Oryctolagus cuniculus: one gene and its partner. The protein of the gene in region 1 binds, or shares a complex with, the protein of each later gene. Links are inferred from orthologs where the notes say so. Each region holds a gene or a part of one and is shown on either strand. Other genes may lie near its edges.

Region 1 (3,896 bases):
TCGAAACACTCATACAAAAATACACTCTGAAATGACACTCTAATTTTCCAGACATGGAAATCATATTAATACTTAAATATCTGTATATTTTTGATATATGCCAAACTGACTGCAAATACTTTTACTTAAACCACGAGATTAGTAAATTCATAATAGTTATTTACTGGATTGCAAAGTTGAGAAAATTAAAAGGTCGGGGGAGTAAAAGGGGAAAAAAACGTGGAATCTCAGGAGCCAACAAGAGAAAGATGCAGCTTACTTTGGGTCAAACAAGGTAGTTGAACCACTTCCCCCAAACCGGTGAGCTACTCTTTAAAGCAACCAAACCCTGCTTAGAATTGCTTAGTTTTGTTTCAGGCAGAGCGAAGTGTCACTAAGCAGGTATTTTTTATCACCCTAAGGAAAAGATGCTGCTACTTGCAAAAATGTCGTGAGACCACTCAGAACTACCCAAACAAAAACATAACAACAATCACAACAACAAAAAAGCCTACCACAAATGCCTTCCAGAAAAGAGACAGTCTGGGCAAACAGCATCTCTATAGTCCTAAACATCACAGGGGGGAAAAAAAAAAAAAAAAAAAAAAAAGACGTACACTGGGGAACGCTACGTAGTAGAAAGTTGGTTAGAATATGAAATAGGACGTAGGTTCATTTGGATCTACTCGGCTTTGCGTCCAGGGCAAAATAAAGCTCTCTTGGCTAATGCTAAGGCCACACTTCCTTTACAGGTGCTTGTAAACACTGTTTAGACAGAAGAGATAAACTGATAAGTTGAGAAGGACACGTGGGAAACCAGAGGGTGTCGTCATCATCACGAATCAATTTTCCTAACTGGTGAGCAAAAACAGGTCCAGGTAGTAAAGGGGGGGCCCTGGGTCTGAGACCTTGGCCAGGAAGCCAGAAAAGCACGTGTCCTACTCTGGGTTTGGGAACTTCCCGGGAAGCGCTGGGTTCCCAGTAAAACTCCATCACCCTCTGGCTGCCTCACTCGGGAGAAAGCAGACGAAGTACGAGTCGCCACGGGAACACGCCGGCCCCGAGGCCCGGGAGGGAGACCTCGGAGGCGGCGGCCCGTCCAGGACCGGCCGCGGCCCCGCCCGGCTCACCTCCGCCGCCGGGATGTTGACCACGCCGGTGGAGCGCCGCTTCTCCCGCAGCTTCCTCTTCTCGATCTGCCCCTTGCCTTTCCTGGCACTGGGGCCCGAGCTCTTGCCCTTGTCCGGGGCGCCGTCCGGCTCCTCCTCGTCGCCCCGGGGCTGCGGAGCGCCCGCGGCGGCGGCGGCGGCGGCGGGAACCGCGGAGGGGCCGGGGGACTCCTCCTCCGCGCGCCGCGGGCCCGGGGCCGCCCGGCTCAGTCCTGCGGAGCCGACGGCGCAGTTCACGCCTCCCGGGCCGGGGGCGGCAGGTGCGGCCGAGCCGCCCGGGAGGTTGTTGTTGAGCTCGTTGGTCGCTGCGGCCGCCGAGGTGGCCAGAGCCCCCACTGGGGGCTTCCCGGCCGCGTCGCTGCTGCCCCCGCCCGGGACGGCCGGGCCCGGGGGGTTCTGCTTGGCGCGCATCTTCTCGCGCTTCGCCTTCCACTCCTCCAGGAAGTCTGTGGTGCTGCCGCCGAGGCCGCCGCTGGCCCGGTAGCCACCGGTCGCCATATTCCCAGAGGGGCCGGTCGGGCTAGCACCTCAGGCCGTCCACCCGTGCTCCTGCCGCCGCCGCCGCCGCCCCTTCCTTCTCGTGGCCAGGAGGACGCGAGCGAACGACCCCCACCCCGGGCGCGGGGTGACCGCGGCTCCTCCCGCAGCCCGCGAGTCTGAGGAGAAACACAAAGGGGGCGGAGAGGGGCAGCGTCAGGTCCCGGCCTGGCCGGAGGGTCTGCTAGTCGACCGCGCGGCGCGGAGCCCCCCAGAGCGTGCCCACCGGTGCCGCCGGCCAGTGGCTACCGCGTCCCCACCCTGCAAAGTTTCTCCGACGCACCTAGACCGCGGGCGGGACGATCACCGCCCCTCGCGGGGAGGAGAGAGGAGCTGACCCCACCCCCGGCCGGCCCGCCCCGCTCCATCCCCACAGAGTCCGCGTCTGCGGCGGTCTGGCGACCCCGGCCGGACCCTGCCACCTGTCGGCCCGACGGGTCGCAGGCTCCTCGCCCCGGCCCCCGCAGGTCCAGAATCCCCGCCACCTACGCCCCCCAAACTCTGTGCGAAGAACCGCACCCCGAGCCGGCTCGCGGAGGGGGGCGGGGACCCAGCTGTCCGGCCGAGCCCCAGGAGGGGATGGGGTGCGCGAGCCGAGCTGGGGCGGCCGGGGCAGCTCCTTACCTCGGAGGAGCTTCGGGCGAGGTGGCGCGGGGCTGGGAGCGGGTGTCCAGGTGAGCCGAAAGCGCCGAGCGCTCTCCGGACGCGTGCAGGGAGTCCCGGCACACTCGCAGTCCCAAGGCTGTGCGAGGCTCGCAGGGAGGGAGAGGCGGGGGGTGGGGGGAGCCGAGCGGCGCCGAAGCGCGGGCGGAAAGGGCCGAGGCAGCGCGGGGGGCGCGGCGCGCCGTGGAGCCGGGGGTAGGGCCCGCCGCCGCCACGCCCCCGGCGCTCAGGTGCGCGGCGCCGCGGCCCGCCCGCCGCGCGCCCTCATCCCTGCGCGCTCCGCGGCCGCCCGCGGGTCCGACGGCGCATTCCTGAAGCTGCCGGCTCGCGGTGGCCGGCCTCCCGGCGCCTCCGACTCCGGGCTGGGGACGGCTCTCCACGCCGGGCTCCTCCCTGCGCCTGCTCGCCGCTCCCATCTCCCGCCGCTCTCACTTTTCGGTACAGGACCAGATCATTCGAGGGAAAGCCTGAATGGCCGCTTGGCTGAGAAGGAAAGTGCCATCGACCTGGGAGGACTCAGGGCCTGACTGGACAGTTTGGGGAAAATCCCCATGCGTCCCTTTTGCTCGTCACTGCCCACTTTCAGATGTTCTGGGCTGGCGGGTACGGAAGCAAACCCAGCAACTCCTAAAAATCCTGGGTACACGGGGCTTACTGTCCCTGCATTATCAGTGTACTATTGTGTTAGGCTTGCAGGAGAAAAGCAAAACTTATTTCGAGTATTTATTGTGTGGGCGATCCCTATCTTATTCGGAATTTTCCTCTGACCCCTGTCTCGACATCTGCTCTTTCCAGAAAGTGAGTTCAGCCAGCAATACTCCCTACCAAAGTGCTAAAGCTGTGTTAATGCTGACTTGAGATGAGCTGGGCCGCTGATTCTCTTTGTCCATCCTTAACTGGCCGTAGGGTAACTTTTGCCCCGTGCTGAAAGTCATCTGTGATTTGTGTCGGCGTTTGGCTGGGCTGTCGCTGACAAGCAGCAGAGGAGGGAGCGTTGCAGGTTACAAATGCCAGGTCTCCATTTTGTAGGACAGCCTTGAGTCACATTCTTACCTAACGTGAAGGCTGTCTTCCTGCTTAGCATTCCCGTTTAGCACAGGTGGCACATGGTGGGTGGGCAGGCAGTGTGAGCCTGTCACAGGAATGGGAACAGAAGAAAGTGACTCACACACTGTCTATTTTGCAGAAGGAAAGTCGCATAGTTCTGGTCTTTGATCTCTTGAGGTAAGCAGATGCGTAACTGCAGAAAGATCTGGAAAAATCTTTGGGAAAACAAAGGCCTGTCTTGAGAAAAGGTTTAAAAGGTGAAGTAGCCGTTTGCCTAAGTGATACCAACATGGGTGTGCCACCTGAAATTTCTCAATTATGCATTCGTTATTTTGATTTCTGAGTTTAAGGGGGAGGAGGATTGGAAGATTGGGCATTAAACATACTCGCATTAACATGCTTTGTAATTTATCAGAGGATTTTCTCTTGGAGGGACCACAAGATACAGTGGGAAAACGATATACTGTAGTAAGCCTGGATGCAAACATGTTAAGTAGCTGA
Region 2 (3,896 bases), on another chromosome or scaffold:
GCTGTTGAAGGGAGCCTCTGGGGGACCCCCAGGCTGCCCACAGCGGCTGCCGCCACGGGCCAGGGCCCAGCTTGCCCAGACAACATTGTGGAAGGGCCACTGAAGCCACCCTGTCCCCCCGCACTCGGTGGAGCCTCTGCATGTTGACCCTGGGTCAAAACCACAGGGGGCTGTAGCCCAGTGGCGTGAGAAGACCTCCAGCTTTGGAATCCGGCCACGGCAGCCGGTTCCAGGCTCCGTCTCTGGCCCATCACCGTGTCCTCAGCCTCACAACAGCCGGCTGCCGGCACGGGGCTATGGTGAGGATTAACCAGGGAAACACCTGGCTCATCACCATCACCGCTGTTCCAGGAAGGCCAAGCTACACACCGTGAGGGGCGGGGGTGTAAGGAGATTTTGCTCTTAAAACAGTAATTTCTGTAAGACCTGCCCAGTCCCGTGCCTCTGGGCTGGAGCAGGACAGGACAGCTTCCTGTGGGTCCAGAGCCACAGTCCAGGCCAGGGGTGAGAAGTCCTCCGAGGCAGCACCATCATTCATTCATTCATTCATTCCACAAGCATTCAGGGAGCTGCCAGGCGCGCCTAGCGGTCTAGCACAGCGGGTGCCCAGGCGCCCGGGGGCCCTCGGGGTCTGGCGGTCCTGAGCCCCCAAACAGAGCAGCGGGAGGCTCCCCTGCGCCCCAAAACCGCAGAAACCCGCTGGGAATTTCAGACAAGGCAAGCGAGGTCTTGCACTTGAAACAACTTCCCATTCTCCCCGAAGACGTTTAAATTAGGAAGCCCTGCCCCCACCCCCGGGCCTGGCACGGCCGCGCCCCTCGCGTTATTGCAACCCAGGCCTCCCTCCGGCCTCCGGAGAGACAGACGCCGCGGGCGCACAGCGCCAAGGCCGTGGCCTCGCTCGCCCGGGCGGCCTCCGGGAGGGGGCGAGCGAGCGCTGGGCCCCGCGCGTCCGAGGCCGGGGGCGGGGTCGGGGCCTGGGCGGGCCGGGCCCGCCCACGGGAGCCTTTCCTTTTTTTTTTTTTTTTGCACTTTAAAGCCCGCGGCTGCTTTCTCTTCCCGCACAGTCCGCGCGCTCGCAGCAGCGGCCAGGCTCCTGCGCTGGCGCCGGGGCCGCGGGGAGGAGGCGGCTTCGCTCCCTGCGGCGGGCGCGGCCCGGGCGCCCGAGCTCCTCGGCCCGGGAGAGCGGCGGCGGCGCCGGACACCGAGCACCGGTGGGTGGAGGAGCGTGAAGGGCACCGGGGACCCGGGAGGGGCGGGACGCAGGGAGGCGGCGCCCGGGGCCCGGTGGGGGTCCGGGCTGGGGACCTGGCGGGGCGCGGAGGCCCCGGGCGCCCTTCGCTCGCCGCGCGTCCCGGAGCGGGGCCGGGCGCCGCCCAGCGCCGCTGCCCGCTGCGGCCGCCCGGGTCCCACCTGCGGGGCCGAGGCCGGGCGGGGACCGCCGGCCGGGGGTGGAGCCGCGGAGTCCGTGCGCCCGGGCGCCCCGGGGCCTCCGAGCCCGCGACCGTGCCCGCCGCCTCCCGCACGGGGGGCAGCGCGACCCCGCTCGGAGAAGTTGGTTTCGCTTTTCCCGCCAGTTCGGGCCCGAGTTTGCAGAGCGGCCCGACTGCCCCTCAGGGCGCCTCCGGCCGGCCCTCAGCGCCTCCCCTGGGGAGCCCTCCGGGCGGCGCCGTCCTCCCGCGCCCCGGAGCCGCTGTGGCCTCTCTCGGCCGCAGAGGGCGAGCCCGAGGTTGTGTCAGGAAATCGATTAAAACAGAAAAGCAAGGGGAGCCTGGCTCTGTCGGTGGAGCCTCGGGATGGGTCGCTCGTGCGGGGCTTGGTCCCTGTCCCGCTCAAGTTCAGGGCTCCGAACCAAGTGGACCGGGGCGGCCGGGGACTGCGGAAGTGGGTGTGAGAGAGAGAGTGCGTGCGGGAGAGTGTGAGTGTGTATGGGTGTGTGTATGTGGGAGAGTGTGAGTGGGGGGGAGGATCGTGAGAGTGTATGTGCGTGTGTGGGAGAGTGTATGTGTGTGTGGGGGTGGGGGGAGTATCGAGAGTGTGTGGGGAAGTGTGAGTGTGTGAGTGTATGTGTGTGAGTGTGTGGAGGGAATATCGTGAGGGTGTGTATAGGTGTGTGTATGTATGTGGGAGAGTGTGAGTGTATGTGTGAGAGTGTGGGGGGGAGTATCGTGAGAGTGGGTGTGTGTATATATGTGGGAGAGTGTGAGTGTGTGTGAGTGTGTATGGGTGTGTGTATGTGGGAGAGTGTGAGTGTGAGTGTGGGTGGGAGAGTGTGTGCATGTGGGGGGAGTATCATGAGTGTGTATGGGTGTGTGTGAGTGAATCTGAGTGTGTGGGAGTGTGAGTATGTGTATGTGAGAGTGGGGGGAGTATTGTGAGAGTGCATATGGGTGTGTGCGGGAGAGTGTGAGTGTGTATAGGTGTGTGTATGTATGTGGGAGAGTGTGTGTGTGAGTGTGTATGTGCATGAGTGTGTGTGTATGTGCGTGTGTGTGAGTGGGGGGAGTATCGTGAGAGTGTGTGGGGGAGTGTGTGTTTGTGTATGTGTGAGAATGTGTGGAGGGAGTATCGTGAGTGTGTGGGGGAGTGTGTATGTATGTGGGAGAGTGAGTGTATGTGTGAGAGTGTGAGTGGGAAGGGAGTATTGTGAGTGTGTGTGGAACAGTGTGAGTGAGTCTGGGGGAGTATCGTGAGAGTGTGTGTGGGAGTGGGAGTGTGCATGACTGTGAATGTGGGTGGGAGAGTGAGTGTGTACATGTGGGGGGAGTATCATGAGTGTGTATGGGCGTGTGTGAGTGAATCTGAGTGTGTGGGAGTGTGTGTATATGAGAGTGGGGGAGTATCGTGAGAGTGTGTATGGGTGTGTGTGAGTGTGTGTGTGGGAGAGTGAGAGTGAGTATGTGTGTGACTGTGAGTGTGTAAAAGTGAGTCTATGAGTGTGTGTTGTGTGAATATGAAAGTATGAGTGACCCTGTGTGTCTGAGTGTGTGTGTGTGTCTTGGTCAGAATGTGTGTAAGTGTGAGTGCATGTGTCTTGGGAGTGTGTGTATGTTGTGTGTATATGAGTGTGTGTGTCTTGATGGGAATGTGTGTGTGTGTGTATGTGAGGCTGTGAGTGTGTGTCTGGTGTGTGTATGTGAGGCTGTGAGTGTGTCTGGGGTGAGTGCGTGTGTGTTTGCCAGTGCCGTGGGGGAGTGTGTGCACGTGTGTGCTTTGAGTGTCGCTTAGCCTGCCTTTTCCTGGTTGTTCTGGAAAGTGGGGCGCCGGCACCCCGGGGCAGCAGGCTCTCTCCTCCCCTCTCTTTTTCTCTGAAAGTGAACCCTGCCGTTTGGGGGTGAGTTGGCAGGGTTGCTTCCTGCATGAGTAATATTTAATTAAACACTCCCGGGGCAGCATCAGACACTGGTCATAAGCTGAGTTTTAACAGGTGTTCATGGTAAAAGCACCATCCGGGTGAGTAAGGGTTGGTGGCCTAGGAAGAATTTTCTCTGGGGTAGGAGGGTCGCGGAGGGGGAGCCCCAGCCTCAGCCCTGGCGGTGGGCGCGGGAGGGGTTGGCAAGTGCTAGGTGGAGGCTAGCCCTGCGTGCTCATTCCCCACCCCACCTCCACCCCCACCCCCACCGCTGAGGAACCAGAGCTAAGGAAGCCCTGTCTTGCTTCCAAGGCTTTCCTAGAATGGCCCTTTTCCTGGAGCTCAGAGAGGGTGGCTCCCTTAGCCAAACTGCACAGCCGGGGCTGCGACCGAGACCCCCAAGTCCTGGCTGTGACTGCTGTCGCCGTCCCTGGCACTGAGATCACAGCTGGGCAGCTGCACAGATCGTCCGGGGCCCTCCTCACCTTCCTCCTCCTCCTGTCTCTGAACCCCCTTCCTTCTCCAGGGAGTACTTGCCTTGGTG

Evidence for each region.
Region 2: the proteins of PAWR (region 1) and SPSB1 are in contact, whole or in part, in a crystal structure (PDB 2JK9), measured with the Homo sapiens proteins. The link is inferred for Oryctolagus cuniculus from reciprocal best matches to the Homo sapiens genes PAWR and SPSB1. Residues at the interface, in NP_001341661.1 of Homo sapiens: Glu68, Leu69, Asn70, Asn71, Asn72, Leu73, Pro74; in NP_079382.2 of Homo sapiens: Arg77, His78, Pro79, Val80, Ala81, Gln82, Gly110, Thr111, Tyr129, Val216, Trp217, Gly218.

The regions. Positions count from the first base shown.
Region 1 is NC_091442.1:82,485,476-82,489,371, forward strand, and holds the start of PAWR (PRKC apoptosis WT1 regulator protein), read right to left. Parts: upstream 2,451-3,896; 5' UTR 2,310-2,450; intron 1,993-2,309; exon of another isoform or gene 1,805-1,992; 5' UTR 1,647-1,804; coding exon 1,110-1,646; intron 1-1,109. UniProt on the Homo sapiens protein: Pro-apoptotic protein capable of selectively inducing apoptosis in cancer cells, sensitizing the cells to diverse apoptotic stimuli and causing regression of tumors in animal models.
Region 2 is NC_091438.1:158,700,679-158,704,574, reverse strand, and holds the start of SPSB1 (SPRY domain-containing SOCS box protein 1), read left to right. Parts: upstream 1-1,047; 5' UTR 1,048-1,214; intron 1,215-3,896. UniProt on the Homo sapiens protein: Substrate recognition component of a SCF-like ECS (Elongin BC-CUL2/5-SOCS-box protein) E3 ubiquitin-protein ligase complex which mediates the ubiquitination and subsequent proteasomal degradation of target proteins.